Macaca fascicularis: one gene and its partner. The protein of the gene in region 1 interacts with the protein of each later gene in a pairwise test. Links are inferred from orthologs where the notes say so. Each region holds a gene or a part of one and is shown on either strand. Other genes may lie near its edges.

Region 1 (7,793 bases):
CAAGTGGGCCTCAATATTTTGTAGTCGTTCTTCTACAGCCTGATTACCACAATCTCGAAGCATGCTGTTAGGTTTATGACCTGACCCTGGAATTCCTTCAGGTCTAGTCTGTGGTCCGTATGTATTCACAACTCTAGAAACTAAATTAACAAACTTTTGAGCCTATATACATTTATATTTCAAAAATCAGAAATTCTTATTCCCTAACAGCACTTTGTATTTTTTTCATAAAGACCATCTAACCACAAGTATGAAGGACGGCAAGATGTTTTTGTTTTAAAATAAAATTTAGATGGGAAAGTTATTTCTATTCCATTTTGCTAATAATCTAGACTTCTGTCAGTGACTCAGATGTCATGTGGTGGTTACTTACCTTTTACGTGACTTTTAAATCCGGGGTAAGGAGTAAAAATCGCATCAGTTCTTGCACAACTATTTTCTAAGGAGAATTTAGATAAATATAAGTTTAAATATATTCTTCCCTTCAAATGTATGAGATTTTAATAAACTTCCAATCATTCATATTAACATTTTACTCATAATAATTTTAATAAATAATAGTAACAATAAATTACCATCACACACAGGATAGAATTTAGTGACCTTCTTTACCTGTCAAAATGTATCGTAATATCTAATATTCTTACCTAATATTCAGATTTATATACAGAAAAGCCATCAACATTAAGTGGCACAAATTGATACAATTTTGAAAACCAATGTCACTATTCGGGCCTCTGGAGAAAATAATCTACTGTAGAGTATTTAAATTCTACTTCATCGTAGAACTAGAACTCATCATTTTTACTAGAATTCTTTTAATTCAGCATGTTTTATTTTAATGCCAAATTAGTGAACACCCAACAAAAAGAATTATGTATTTAACACATTTTTATTTCAGAACTCCACATAAAGATGACCTCAAAACCTCAAGTACACACACATTTCCACTCTACCTAGATTTCCAGTGCTCATTTTAGAAATCTGTCATCACAAAAGTCATCTACTTCTTCTCATCCTACCACTTTCAAAAAAGTTTAAATTTAGGAAAGGTCTGTTGTGAAAATTTGTTCCTATTTTTTTCCAAGCTGAAAAGTATAGTTTCTTTCAAATTAGATATCAATGCATAAATTACAAAGGGGGAAAATTGGAAAGATGTTAACATATAATACAACTAATATATTAACATAATTGTTATATATTAACATATGATACTACATAGTAATAATATATACTTGTGTTTGAAACAATGCTTAAAAGCCACACATTGGCAGTAAGTCTCCTGTAAAATTCCCTTGAATATTTTGTAAAAAATGGCTGGTAAATGAGATTCTTAAAAAAAAAATTCCTTCCCCCACCATGAAATTTGATTTTTAAAAATTCCACTGCTTATAGTTAGATTTGTACTATTAAAATCCCTTTTAATAAAAAGGAACACACTAACATATTAAAATGCATTTATATTTTTTCAGTTGAACTTTCCTTAGTAGTTCTGTTGATAAATCAAATAGTATGCATAAAATTCCAAATCCACTTAGCTTTTATATCCAGAGACTAAACAGTCATCTTTCCTTTTTTTTTTTTTTTTTTGGAGGCACCTCAAAATATGCTTAAAAGGCCATCCTTTCTCCATTCTCTTCCTACCATTTAATGGGGCTAAGGGTTAAAAAAAGAAGCTATCATCCATTCCAGAACTATATTCCAAACATATAGATTAACTGACCCATCAGTGAGAAATTCAGCATGGTGTGAGTATATGAGTGCTAGTCACTCTCCACAGCAATTCTTTCTAGCACTGTTTTGAGCCAGCAAGGAATTGAATGGGCCAAGGAATCCTGCTGAGCATTTCAATTCTTGTCAATTTCTATCCCCTGGTGGTTTATAATAATAGAGTTAGCAGGGAGAACAGAGGAATAACATTAGTGACACATGTGCTTGCTCTCGCAACAAACCCTTTCTCATAGTCGCTTATAGCTGGTTGTAGTACCTGAGATTTTGCCATTGTTGCACCTGTTCTGAAAAGCTAATAGGAAAATATACCAAATTTAGAGATGCACATGTGTAATGTTAATAGTAGCACACAGCTAAATTCAGGATCCAATACCAGCCTATATTATTTCATTATTAAGAGAATCAGTGTACCAATGTGATATGAGTCAGTTTTAGGTTCATCTGACAATTCTATGTTCATAATAATTAGTCATGAGATATTAGAGGCAACAAGAAACATGTTCATCCCAATTATGAATTCTTCTCCATAATTTTTCCTAAGAACTAGTTGTTCTGATTATTACTATGGTGCCTGAGTATGATCTATGGCACTGCTTTGCAATATTTTGTATTCTGCAGCATAACTGCAGATTTGTAAATGTACTATAGCATCAAGTAGAGAGGTAAAGGAGAATCTGATGAAAAACAACAAACGTATGCACTATGGCAGAAAGGAAAAAAGCAAGACACCATAGTCTTCATGATAAATTGGTTGTATTGTGACATAGGACATTTCAAACAGCTCAGGAGTAGTGAGAAAACTGCTCCCTCTGGAGGAATATTAACTTTAAGTTCACTTATGTATTAACATCATGATTTCACAGTACATGTATAGGTTTGAAACTCATAGAGCTCAGTTCCTTTTACTAGTGGGATAGATCAACCTTGTCACTCATACCTCACATTCATTTCCTAAAGGAACTTTAAAATAATCTTCGCCAGTGATAAACACTTTTAATGTTAGCATTTACTTTGTGTAACCAAAATGAAAACCAGTTTGCAATATAGTCTATTATTAAGCAGAAGGAAACTCTACTATCTTAGTTACTAACTAAACCTGTGAAATAACTTGAATTGTGTTCTTAAAGCTATTCATTTAAAAAATAAATAAAAGATTAGAGCAACTATAAAAATTGTGCTTAAAACCCTATGAAAATTAATTTCTAGGTAGTTACCTTGATTACAATCAATAACATTGCAAAATTCCCTGACGTTGTTTTCATTGATTTCAGCTTGCTTTCTTTCAATAAATGCAGATATTCGTCTGTCAATCTACAAACAACAAGTTTTAACAGTGTAAACATAAGATTTTTAAAAATAATACCCTCTCACCCCCGCCAGAAAAACTTACTTCTGCTTTTCCAGCCTTTATCTGAACTACTTCTGGATCAAAATGGATCTGTGTCTTTTTCACATCTCCTAAATCACTTTCTTTGTGTTTTTCTTCCTCTTGTAGGTCACCAATGGAAAATTTGTCATTTGCTTCATTTTTGTTCCCCATTTCTGTTTTTCCTATCTCTTCAACAGCAGTTGTATTCTCCTCTTTAATTGGAGACTGAAGTTTTGCTAAAAAAGGCTGAGAACAACACAATTCCATCTGCTGAGGTTCAAACTGACCAAAATTAATTACACATTTAATATATTTACATAAATTTCTGCAAAGTAAATGAAATACTTAATATCAGTTAATAAATATAAAAAGTTGGTATACCAAGACACATAGATCTGACCACATGTAAGTATTTACTATTCTCTGCTATTGTAACCATTATCATTTGCTATAAATTAGTTTTAAAAAAGGAGAGAGGAAAAAAGAAAAGAAAAAAGAAAAGAAAACCTAAGGAAATTTAAAATTTTCTTTGAGAGAATCATTCTGTCACTCATCTTTTATTTTGTGCCAAATCAAAGCCTTCAGCCTCTGGCACCAATGCCACTTAATTAACATGTCATTCAAATGCCTCCTCAGAACACTAAGGCTTAGTATTTTTCCTCCTTAACATGAGAGCCAGTGCTCTCACTCAGCAAAGCCCTGCATTATCACTATATCACTGGAGATTCTCCACTTGAAACTGCAGTTGGCCAATGTGAATGAGGAAGATAGACATGAAATATATAGGTGTTAGGTTGAGTGAACACTCAGACATTTCCTGACATGGCAAGATCTCTTCTTGGGTCATAAAATTAAATTTTAAAAAAGAAAATGAACAAGAAAAAAAAAAAAGATCTATAGCTGAAAACAGGCAGAGGCCTATCACTATACTACAGGGGAAAACCCCTGTTGTAGACTATAAACTATATTACCCATTTACTGTTCCCCTCCCCCGCTCCCCACAATTAGGCCTCATTTGAGTTCTACAGCTCACTGCTCTGCCCTTTAAAACAGGGTTAACTATTACTTTTAACATGGAACAGTTAAAATTTCCCACAAAGTCAATGAATGGAGGGCTGAAAATTAATGCCTATTCCATTAGTCAAAACACACTAACACTGATAATGTTCCAATTATTTTTTTCATACCCACAATTTTGCTTCCATTGTTTGCTATACTACTCTTTTGAAACCTTGTAACACCTTAATCACAGTAAACTGACCAATCCAAACAGTTTTTCCACTTGTCTTTTTGACACTTCACATTTTACACTTTGATTAGAGATAAACTGCAAACTTACATCAATTATAATTGCAAAGATGTTCAATTAGAAACCAGCAAGGTCATAATACTGTTCAGTTATTAACATGAAATATTTTAAAATATAACAACATTATTATAAATACAGATTCAATATTAACTTCTAATATAAAGAATGAATTATTTCAAACTGTTAAGGAAAAGAAATGATAAAATAGTGACTGGCTACTTACAAAGATGAGACATTAATGTCACAGAAATTACTTTCTTTTTAAAAACTATGCTGAAACTGTTTAATTGCAATAGACACTCCAGGATGTGTCATGCTGGGATAATGCCCCTTCTTGAACCACTGAAAGCACTCCATGAGCCTCCAAACTCACCCAAGGCATGGAATCATTATCATAGCATGACACACACCTGCCGTGTCTTATTGCTTAATTATAACCCACCATAGATGGAACTGTATTGAATTTTCAGTGCAGGTCTAGAATTGAATAGAATTGCATTCATTCACTCTCATACCCACATTGGTCTTTTGGGCTATATTCCCTTAACTGTCCTGATCACTACTGAAATTAACAGATTTAGATTAAATCTGGATGTAAATAACCTTTTGTTAGCAACACTATTAATATAGTGTTTAGAACTGTCAAATACTCCAACTAATTTAACCACAATTAATGTCTATTTTCAATATCGGGTTATCATTTTAGCAAGAAATTTACCTGTAAATATAAAATGTGTTGTTCAAGTGCACTAAAGAGCAATGCAGGCTGGAATGCCGAGAGGCTCTGGAGCTTGTTCCAATCGATTGTAATTTTCACCACATCATCTCTGAGGTTAAGCTTCAAAGGGGCAAACCAGCAACATCACAAAAATTACACAATTAAGCTGTACATATGAATTGTCACAAAAATAAGATTTCTAGAGTAACGGGTCTATTTTGCTCTAAGTTATCAAGTTTTTAATAATACACTGAAATGCTCTACGCAGTTCCATTTTAAGAGGCCAAAAAAGCTACAGATTTTCATAAAAAACAAAAACAACATGACATGTCATTCAAATTCTATTCTTGGGTCTGTGTAATGCGACCATTTTAGAGGTAAAAACCATTCATGAAAGATGAAAAGATGAAGGCTCTTTTGATACTTCAATATCTACAAACCTTTGGATGGAGTCCAATATAGGCCTGCCCTATTCAGAATCCTACTACTTCTAGCTCAGAGCCTTAAACAGAGGAAGTACAACTGTTTTGTGAAAGTTTTAACATGCATCTTTCTCTTTATGTACACAAATACATATCAGAAATATATCATTATTCTGATGTCCTCCAAATCACATTTTTAGTTTTTTAACTTTTAACCAATTTTTAAACTAATTTAAAAGTCAAGATTATTCATACATATAAAGTGTAGGGATAAATGGCAACATGTTTATTTCAAATGAAAAACTATTATTTAGCTACAGAAGTCTGAAGCTGAAAAACAAAGACTTCTCCACTATAGTGACATAAGTTGCCAGACTGGATGAAATGTCCAGATCTTTTGCTAAATGCTAAGATATCAGTGCTCATTATATGGAAATTTCTATCAGTTGGTGATCTAATAGAATAAAATCATACCCAGAAAACTACCAACAACCTGAATATAAGATTATCATCAAAATGAGTGAAAAGTTTACAATGAGAGCGCCCATCTGCAGTCTTTTGAGTAAATAAAAGTGAACCATCACAAACTTTTCTAGGGACATGTGTTTATAGCATAGTATAAGAATACACTTCATAGTGGAATCAACTTAACATAATTTATTCAAAATGAGTCATCTTTTCTACAAAATAAAGGTGTTACATGAGTTCAAATACAGATTTTATTAGTCATAATTATAATAAAAAAGATGAATCACTGTACAAAGATCAAAAAGATGTAAGGTTACCAATAAAAAGATAATATATTGAATACTTTGTGACAGAAATGAAGATGAGAACAGAAGCATTTAGAAGTCCATATTAGACAAGCGTAAAGATACATGAAATTTCATGTAGGCTGCACTGGCAAAGATTATAATATGTTAAGATTTTACGTTAAAGTGAATGCATTCATTTACATTATTTTAATTCCTATAAAGATTTTGTTAGACAACAACCTGTATTATGTATGGAAGTAACCTATTATTGTACTTTCATAGTCTTCAAAGAGATCTACAGTTGATCACAGAAAACTTAAGAATACAGCTTGGGGATAAAGCAGGCAAATCCTCAACCAAAGCAAAGTATCACATTTTCTAGAGAAAATAACTTATAGAAAAATAAGTCTTAATGTTTCGTTCATAGTGTCATTTCAATTCAGCAGAATTACATAAGCTTCAAGTGCAATTAAGAATAACTGGTCTTTTAAGAAACTCACATAATAATGTCACAAATTAATTTAAAACTATTCTAATACACCTAACTATTCATTCAACAAATTCATTATTAGTAATATGAATTCTATGCATTTTGCCCTACAGAACTTGGAAGAGTAAACCATTCACTCGAAAATCTCTATTAGTCTGCTATTAATATAGACTATTTAAATAAATATTTTCAGTAAACACTTTACTAAATTAATACAAAAATCCAAGCTAAAAATAAGTAAGTGTTTAGCTTGGTAAGATGGACCATCCAGAGGCAAGCAAAAAGGTTAAAATTAGTAAATTTTGTGATCTTAAGTAAAAAATTCTTTTTAACATTCAGTTTTATGTTTCCTACTGAGATCTAATAATACAATGATACTTAGGGATGACACAGGATGAAGTTAGGCATGTTACAACATACCTTCTAGAAATCTTTTAAAGTGGTTGCAAAAGAAAATACTGATTTCTCTGGGGGCAATTTTGCAAGTGTGGAACTCTGGCTTTCACTCTTAATACTTCTCAAAATATAGAGTATTATGAAAACAGTTTGCATTTAACTGATGAAACAATCATATTTTTGACACCTGTATAGGAGGTCCCTTCACTGTGTCATGGTAAAGTAACCAAATATTTACTGTCAACATTTTTGACAGGTGACACAAATAAATTGTAATCGCTTCTTTACTTGTAGAGTACTTGAATGTTTAAAATTTTCTAATGAGTTTGAAAAATTCAGTATGCTAAATGTTTCAAAAGAAACGTTTAAATCATTGCTCAGTATTTTTTAAAAATATTCCATCTTCTGTTAATAGGTGAGCATAAACTTTTTTCATCTTGACATTAGAAAATAAACAAACTTAAGTTCCAACGTCGCCATAAAAAGTTCTCTAACTTTTAAACCATTTAAAAGGTCTTGGGTCTTAAGACTGGAATATATAACAAAACACCCCAAGCCTTTAAAAAACGATTTCGGTAAGCACTTGGCAAACAACTGAATTTA
Region 2 (6,962 bases), on another chromosome or scaffold:
TGTCCCAAATTCCCAATCCTAGGTAAGATATCAAGTTACAAAATACAAGTGCTGATAATTAAACTATAGGTAGTATATTAAACAAAAGTGAGTTTTTAGCAATTATGTGAAATGAGGCTTTAATCAAAACGAGACTTAATGCCACAAGGTGCCTTTTTTCCCAAGAGTAATTAATTCAGTCAAGCCCATGATTCCAAGCTCAAGTGACAAGTTTTATATTCTTGAAGTAAACAAGAAGAGTCAATCAATGCTTAAGTGGTATATTTTAGTATATGTTATATTTCTGGACAATCTCTCATTGCATTCAATTTTTAGAACTTGTCTTTGAGTTTAATAAAACAAAATAATTAGAGAACAAAGCCCACTCCACTTAGAGGAATGTAACATAATTGTTCTGTCTGGGTACAACACTGGGAGTCTTTTGTCAACTTACCACACTAATTGACTTACCAAAAGCATACTTCCTTCAGCTACAACTGTAATTGGAACACACAGATTTTACCTGAAGAAAATCCTGTACTTCCAGTTTCAAAAAGCAGACAATTCTATGAAGAAGCAACCATTTAAATATCTAACTATACACATTTAAGTTTTTACAACTTCATGCCTTATGAGGAATTTTGATTTCAGAAGTATCATTTCACAGACCCAGCATCATATATTTATACATATTTCATACAGTATAGTATTAGAAACTGTAAATGGCACAGAATAATCATAATTACCACAAAATTTTAACAATTTCCAGTGATCTTAAAAAGACAAATTATAACTGCCTTTGCTCAGCTAAGATATCCAGTTATGGTTATAACTTTCGAAAATCCTAAAGTTATGTGAAAAAACGTAGTCAAAAGAAAATCTGTAAATCTGATACTTTCCAATATTTTAAATATGCATAGCTAAAGCGAAAATAAAGGGGTTGATCTGGCACATGAATAATTAAGTCAATGAATTTTACAACCCTGAGCCATTTTGGCAACTATTTTAGGTTTCACATAATTTTCACAGTCTTAGTACCACCATTTTCATTTAGATAAAAGAAATGACCTTTTGAAATCATGGGCATCAAATTTGGTGCTTATGGACAAGAATCACAACTAGAAGCTAGAGACAAAATGGATCACAGCAAGCATAGTTTCTCTCAAAGTATAAGGAATGTTATAGAACATACAATAGAAGCGATAGTTTAGAAACCTTGGGAAGCTCACATTTCTGATTTTGTTTTACTAAACAATTTGAAGCATTATATTCATGTTTAAAAAAATGAAACAAGAAAAATGCAGCATGGAACATTTTAGAAGTCACAGAAGGTTCTCATCTTCCCTTTGTTTTGGGCACATTGTCTCACCTGTTTTCACTTTGGTACAAAAAGAAACAAAACCGAATCTCTGCTCAGAGTAGTCATAGTGAGAACACTGAGATTTGCATATGTTTTTCTAATTTCCCATCCATCTAGACCCTGAAATCTAAATAAATATTTCAGTTAAAACTTTTTTTCCATTTGCATGACATCTAGGCCACTATATATCCTACCCTGAATGGGGGAGGATGGGACAGCTGTATCTTAAACTGAAGCAGTGGCAGCTAAAACCTGGCAACTGCTGCCAGAGTCCCCAATGTGTCCTGCCTATTATTATTTTTTAAAATGTGACAAAGGCAAAAGCTACAGTTGGAAACTCACGCAATTTAGAAATATGTTGAAAAATTTTATTATAGTCCTTAGGATTTCCAAGTAAACGCTCCTGAATCAAGTATTACAAAGCTGCTAATTAGCAACTGAAAATTAGCCATTCAAATAATATTAGAAATAGTTGCTGAATTGTTTTTATGAAAGCTTCCTCTTGGATTCTGTAAGGATCAGAGTATCTGAATCCACACACCAGCTAGTTTCAAGAAAGAACTCTTTTGACTAAAACTTACCCTAAAACCAATTTTCCCAACGCTTTTCTTTTTCCCAAATAGTCCAACGTTTTGAGGAGAAATAAATGAGGCAGGGTGTTTTATACTGCACTGTACCCTTTAGGAAACCTTTTAGTGAACTGGGAAAATTTTCACAACATAAACTCTATGTTTATAGATATTATTACTCTGCTGTATAATATATACTGTGCGGAAAAAAAAAAGAAGAAAGAAAACACTAGCCTGGGCAACATGGTAAAACCCCATCTCTACAAAAAATACAAAAATTAGCTGGGTATGGTGGTGCCAGCCTGTGGTTCCAGCTACATGGGAGGCTGAGGTGAGAGGATTGCCTGGGCCTGGGAGGTCAAGGCTGCATTTAGTTGTGACGTTGCCACTGTACTCCAGCCTGGGCAACAGGGTGAGACCCTGTCTCAAAAAAAAAAAAAAAAAAAAACCAAAAAGTGTTTTATCAAAGGATAAAACTGAAATGCTATAGTGTATAGTGTGACCATAATTTCAGAAGAGAATCAGCATAATTTAAAAGGATAGCTAGCATACTATATGTTTTAATAATTCCAGTATTTTTGTTATTTGGGCTTAATTTAACTTCTTTTCCTCTTTTTGATTTTTGTATTCTAAGAGGGCACTTTTAATTTTCAAGTTGTGTTTGAAACTATAAAGAGTATGCTAATACAACTTAATATAAATATAAATAATATATAAGCGCTCTCTCTCTATATATACATACATATAAACAGACCCAAGCATTAGACCACTGATGTTGTACTTTCAGGATTCACACGAATAAGTCTAGATGCATTCCTCAGATCTTGGAGTTGCTTGGCAGGTTTCCCCACACCTTCTTCAAACCTTTTCTCCACCACAGGGAGGACTGTTTCATATAAAAAGGATGCATTCTGTCTGATAAAAGCTTTCTTCTCTGGATCCTGCTCACATCGAAGACTATAATCCACATGCTGAACAGCAACCAAAATGATTTCCACCAGGCTCTCCAAAAGTACCATGTGCAGCTCTGGGAAATACAGCTTCAGAGCCTCTTCCAAGAAGCCCATGGTCTGTTTGGTGAAAGCAACCACTGTGTAACTTAGGTTCACCCAGCAGTCATCCCCTGTGTACTGCTCAAAGTTACTTACCCCACAGCTTTTCATCTCTTCTTTGAGCTTCCCCAGGGCTTCTGGCGTCATCAAGTTCATCCTTCTCCACATCTCTTCAGAGTTGCGATGTTTAGTGGCTTCAATGATGATTTCTTTGTAACTGTGCAAGGCCCCTTGGATGTCTTTCACCAGAAGGGCATGGATGATGAAGGTGAGGTCCAGTCCGATATCACCCAGTTGCTGGCAATGCTCCTTAGCCACTTTTACACACTCAGCTGCTGTTGAGAGGCTCTCCTTACTATCAAACACCTGCTTGCTGAAAGCATCCACGAACATGCCCATGGCTGATCTTGCCCAGACCACAAAGGCGGAGTAGCAGCCGCTGTCAGTGCCTGCAAAATCAATCTCAAATTCTCTTGCAGTCTCAAGAAGGCTGGTAAAGAAGACATGGCACAGCTTATGAATATAGAGTAAAGTGGCGCCTTCAATGCGAAGCTGACGAATTGCTGTATGAACAGCGGCTGCCCTGTTTCTCAAAAATAGCTCACAGGCCTTCGTGCACTGGCCCAGCCGGATCAGTTGCGAAACTGCTCTGCGAGTAGCCTTGGGACCACCTCTCAGGGAACGATCTGGGGAGAGTTCGAAAACCAGCACCTCAGTGAGCTGTCGAACTCGCTCCTCCACTTTGGCCCTTAGTTCTTTTACAGGAGGTGGGCTAGGCTTATCTTCCAGGTAATGGTTCAATTTATCCAGCAGGTCAACAGCTCCTTCAAAGTCCCTCTGCGCAATGCAGACATCCAGGTCTTCAGGTAACTCCTGGATCCATTCCATGGAGAGGTCCACGTTCTCTTCCTCTACTTCAGGAACAGCTGGCTCTTCTTCTTCGTCATCCTCAAATGGGTTAGTGGCCTTGGAAGTCACTTGGGGTGGCCCTCGAGGGGCCGCTGCCTCCTCCTGCTCCCTTCGCCTTTTCTCACTGAGGGCTCTCTTGGTCTCCTCCAGCACTTCCAGCCACTCTCGTTTGATTTTAGCATTTTCGGCCTGGAAAATACGGCTCTCGGGGAACATAAGCAGCTTGAACATGTCCTTCATGGGCGGGTTGTCCTTGACATTGACTACGGCCAAACCATCTAGGGAATAGAGAGCGTTGTAGCGATACATGCCCCGCCGCTGCGGCAGCCAGGTAGCCACCAACAAACAATCGTTCATGAGAAAGCCGTGCACCCGCTGCAGTTGGGCCATGTGGTCGGCATCGTATTCCACTAGGTCCCCGTTGTACACCAGGTACTGTCCCGGCGTCTCCAGCAAATGCCTGCAGCCTTCCACCTTCTCAAGCAGGGTGGTGAGAGTGCGCTGCTTTCCTTCCTCGCCTGGACCGGAGCCGTCGCGGGAGGCGCCACCGGGGGTGGAGAAAAAACCGGCCTGGCCTCGGAGGTGGTCTCGGCCCCCCGCCCCACCGACTCCCTCCTCCCCGCCAGACGCGGCAGCGGCTCCGGCGGCAGCTGCGGCAGGCAGCAACGTAAGCGGGATGCTCTCCAGGCTGCTCTTCTGCTCCGTCAGCAGGTGGCTGAGCTGGTACATCTCGCTCTCCAGGTAGGAGATCTCACGGGCCGTCTCTATGAACTGCCGGTAGTTCTGGTAGACGTTGCGCTTCAGGTTCTGCGCCGTCTCCTCCGCCAGCGCCTGGATGCGCTGCCGGTGCTCCTGGAGGTCCCGGTCCCCATCCGACTGCTGCGAGAGCTGCTTCACGTACAGCCGCGCCTCAAAACCCCCTGACTCCAGCTGCCGACGCAGGCGGCTCGCCCCACTGTCCGACATCGCCATCGCCATTTCCGTCCGGGTCTCACGCAATCACTGTCACTATCGGCGCCGCAGCCGCCGCGGCTGTCTACACCCACCCAAGACCCGCCGAGCTCCTGGGCTGAGGAAGCAGGAATTGGAACAAGACGAGTGCGCCTGCGCCGGGTCTGAGCGTCAGACACTGCGCCTGCGCAAGGGGCCAGGCGCAGACATTGCGCCTGCGCAGGAATGCCATCAGTTAAGGCGCATGCGCCGGAGGAGCTAGTGCGGAAGTGAGTGGAGAGGCCGAGAGCAATTTGGGTACTGCGCATGAACCGAGCGTGACGTTGAGGTTTGAAATAACCGGCAAAGAGTAAAGGCTGGAACTAGCTTCCTGAAAGCTTCGTAGGGCCGGTGCCCTGTGAGCCCAGGTTCTGCGCCCACTAGGAGGTGTCGTGCTGACTGCTTGTTTTAAAGCCCTAGAATCTTGGCTTCGGCGTTTGGGGTAAGCGCCGTTCTCGTTCACGTTCTCTTTCTTAAGCGAGTTTCCGCGAACTCTCGCGGGATTGACTGGCCGTCTCGAGAGCCGGTATCTCCTAGGAGCTAGTCCTGGTCCTCCGCTAGGCGGCTTGGGGTCGCAGCCTAACTCGGAGCCAGCCTGACACCGGCGGATCCCGCCTGTGATCCTGGCAACGATGGACGATGACCTGATGTTGGCCCTGCGGCTTCAGGAGGAGTGGAACTTGCAGGAGGCGGAGCGCGATCAGGCCCAGGAGTCCCTGTCGCTAGTGGACGCGTCGTGGGAGTTGGTGGACCCCACACCGGACTTGCAGGCCCTGTTTGTTCAGTTTAACGACCAGTTCTTCTGGGGCCAGCTGGAGGCCGTCGAGGTGAAGTGGAGCGTGCGAATGACCCTGTGAGTTCCGAGCCCCGCTGGGGAAAGAGGCGGGACTGGCAGTTCTCCTGCAGCCCCCGATCCTGGTCTTCTCTCCTTTCTCTGGTCCGACGGTCCCAGGGGGCATTAAATGAGGGGGGAGTCTGGTTTTGGACCTGGCAATTCCTGCCTTGGCGTATTTCTCTTTTTCTTACCTTTTCTCCCACTCGAAAAATAAGAAAGCTGTGTAGACCCCACCGCCACGGTTGGACTCAGGGCCATAACGAGAAAAGAGATTTGTGTTTGAATCTCACTAAACTTGAAAATAACAAGTTCCTGATTTGCCTTATGATAGTGCTGTAGGACCCTGAAGGGAAAAGCAACCAAATCTGCCCCTAAGAAAGTGCTGAGGACGCAGAGTAACCTCCAAAGGATGTGCGTTCCCCTCCTCTCTTTCCCGTTAGGAACCCACTTTAGTGAGCTCGTGTGTTGCAGTGGGGATCTTCAGTGATGCTTTTAAAACGATTCTTTTTCTACATGCTAAATTTGAGAAATCCTTATTTGAAATAATAATCTACTCCTGCACGTGAATAGGGTGAAGTTTAAGATACAGTTGTATACCACCAGCATGCTTGTTTTTGAGTTGACAGAAAACAACCTACAAACAAATTAAGATATCATATTAAATTGTGTTTAAAGTACCAATCTCCTTTATACAGGCGTCTGTTATCATTTTGGAGATACACTATTGGAGATACCTGCTTGTTAATAACACCAAACTGTGATTTGTCGTAAGGAGACTGGGAGTAGCAGAATGGGATTGCCTTCGAGCTGTTGCAGCCTAGCTAGGGCAAGGGAAGCTGCAGTTGGGCCATGTGGTCCGCATCGTATTCCACTAGGTCCCCGTTGTACACCAGGTACTGTCCTGGCGTCTCTATCAGGTGCCTGCAGCCTTCCACCTTCTCAAGCAGGGTGGTGAGAGGGCGCTGCTTTCCTTCCTCGCCTGGCCGGGGAGCCATCGCGGGAGGCGCCCCCGGGGGCTGTAACTAATTAATTGGGTGAAATGCAAGTATCTGCTAACCAAGGGGGTATACTCTCAAGAAAGCCATCTGCCAAATGAGTTCTCTTAGTGTGCACTGCCCAAGAATGTGTAAGGACTTGGGCGTATTTGGTCAATGTAACACATTTTTATGGTGATTGTTTTCTAGGTGTGCTGGGATATGCAGCTATGAAGGGAAGGGTGGAATGTGTTCCATCCGTCTCAGCGAACCCCTTTTAAAGTTGAGACCAAG

What was found. The genes of interacting proteins can lie anywhere in the genome.
Region 2: the proteins of MBIP (region 1) and EXOC8 interact in binary tests that used the Homo sapiens proteins (3 or more experiments, as listed by UniProt). The two-hybrid records come from large-scale screens. The link is inferred for Macaca fascicularis from reciprocal best matches to the Homo sapiens genes MBIP and EXOC8.

What each region holds. Positions count from the first base shown.
Region 1 is NC_088381.1:104,147,636-104,155,428, forward strand, and holds part of MBIP (MAP3K12-binding inhibitory protein 1), read right to left. Parts: intron 5,248-7,793; coding exon 5,128-5,247; intron 3,347-5,127; coding exon 3,122-3,346; intron 3,043-3,121; coding exon 2,946-3,042; intron 440-2,945; coding exon 374-439; intron 141-373; coding exon 1-140. UniProt on the Homo sapiens protein: Inhibits the MAP3K12 activity to induce the activation of the JNK/SAPK pathway. Component of the ATAC complex, a complex with histone acetyltransferase activity on histones H3 and H4.
Region 2 is NC_088375.1:17,751,609-17,758,570, reverse strand, and holds the start of EXOC8 (exocyst complex component 8), read right to left. Parts: upstream 4,961-6,962; 5' UTR 4,848-4,960; coding exon 2,670-4,847; 3' UTR 1-2,669. Other genes in the region: DNA-dependent metalloprotease SPRTN, read left to right, coding at 5,492-5,712, 6,879-6,962. UniProt on the Homo sapiens protein: Component of the exocyst complex involved in the docking of exocytic vesicles with fusion sites on the plasma membrane.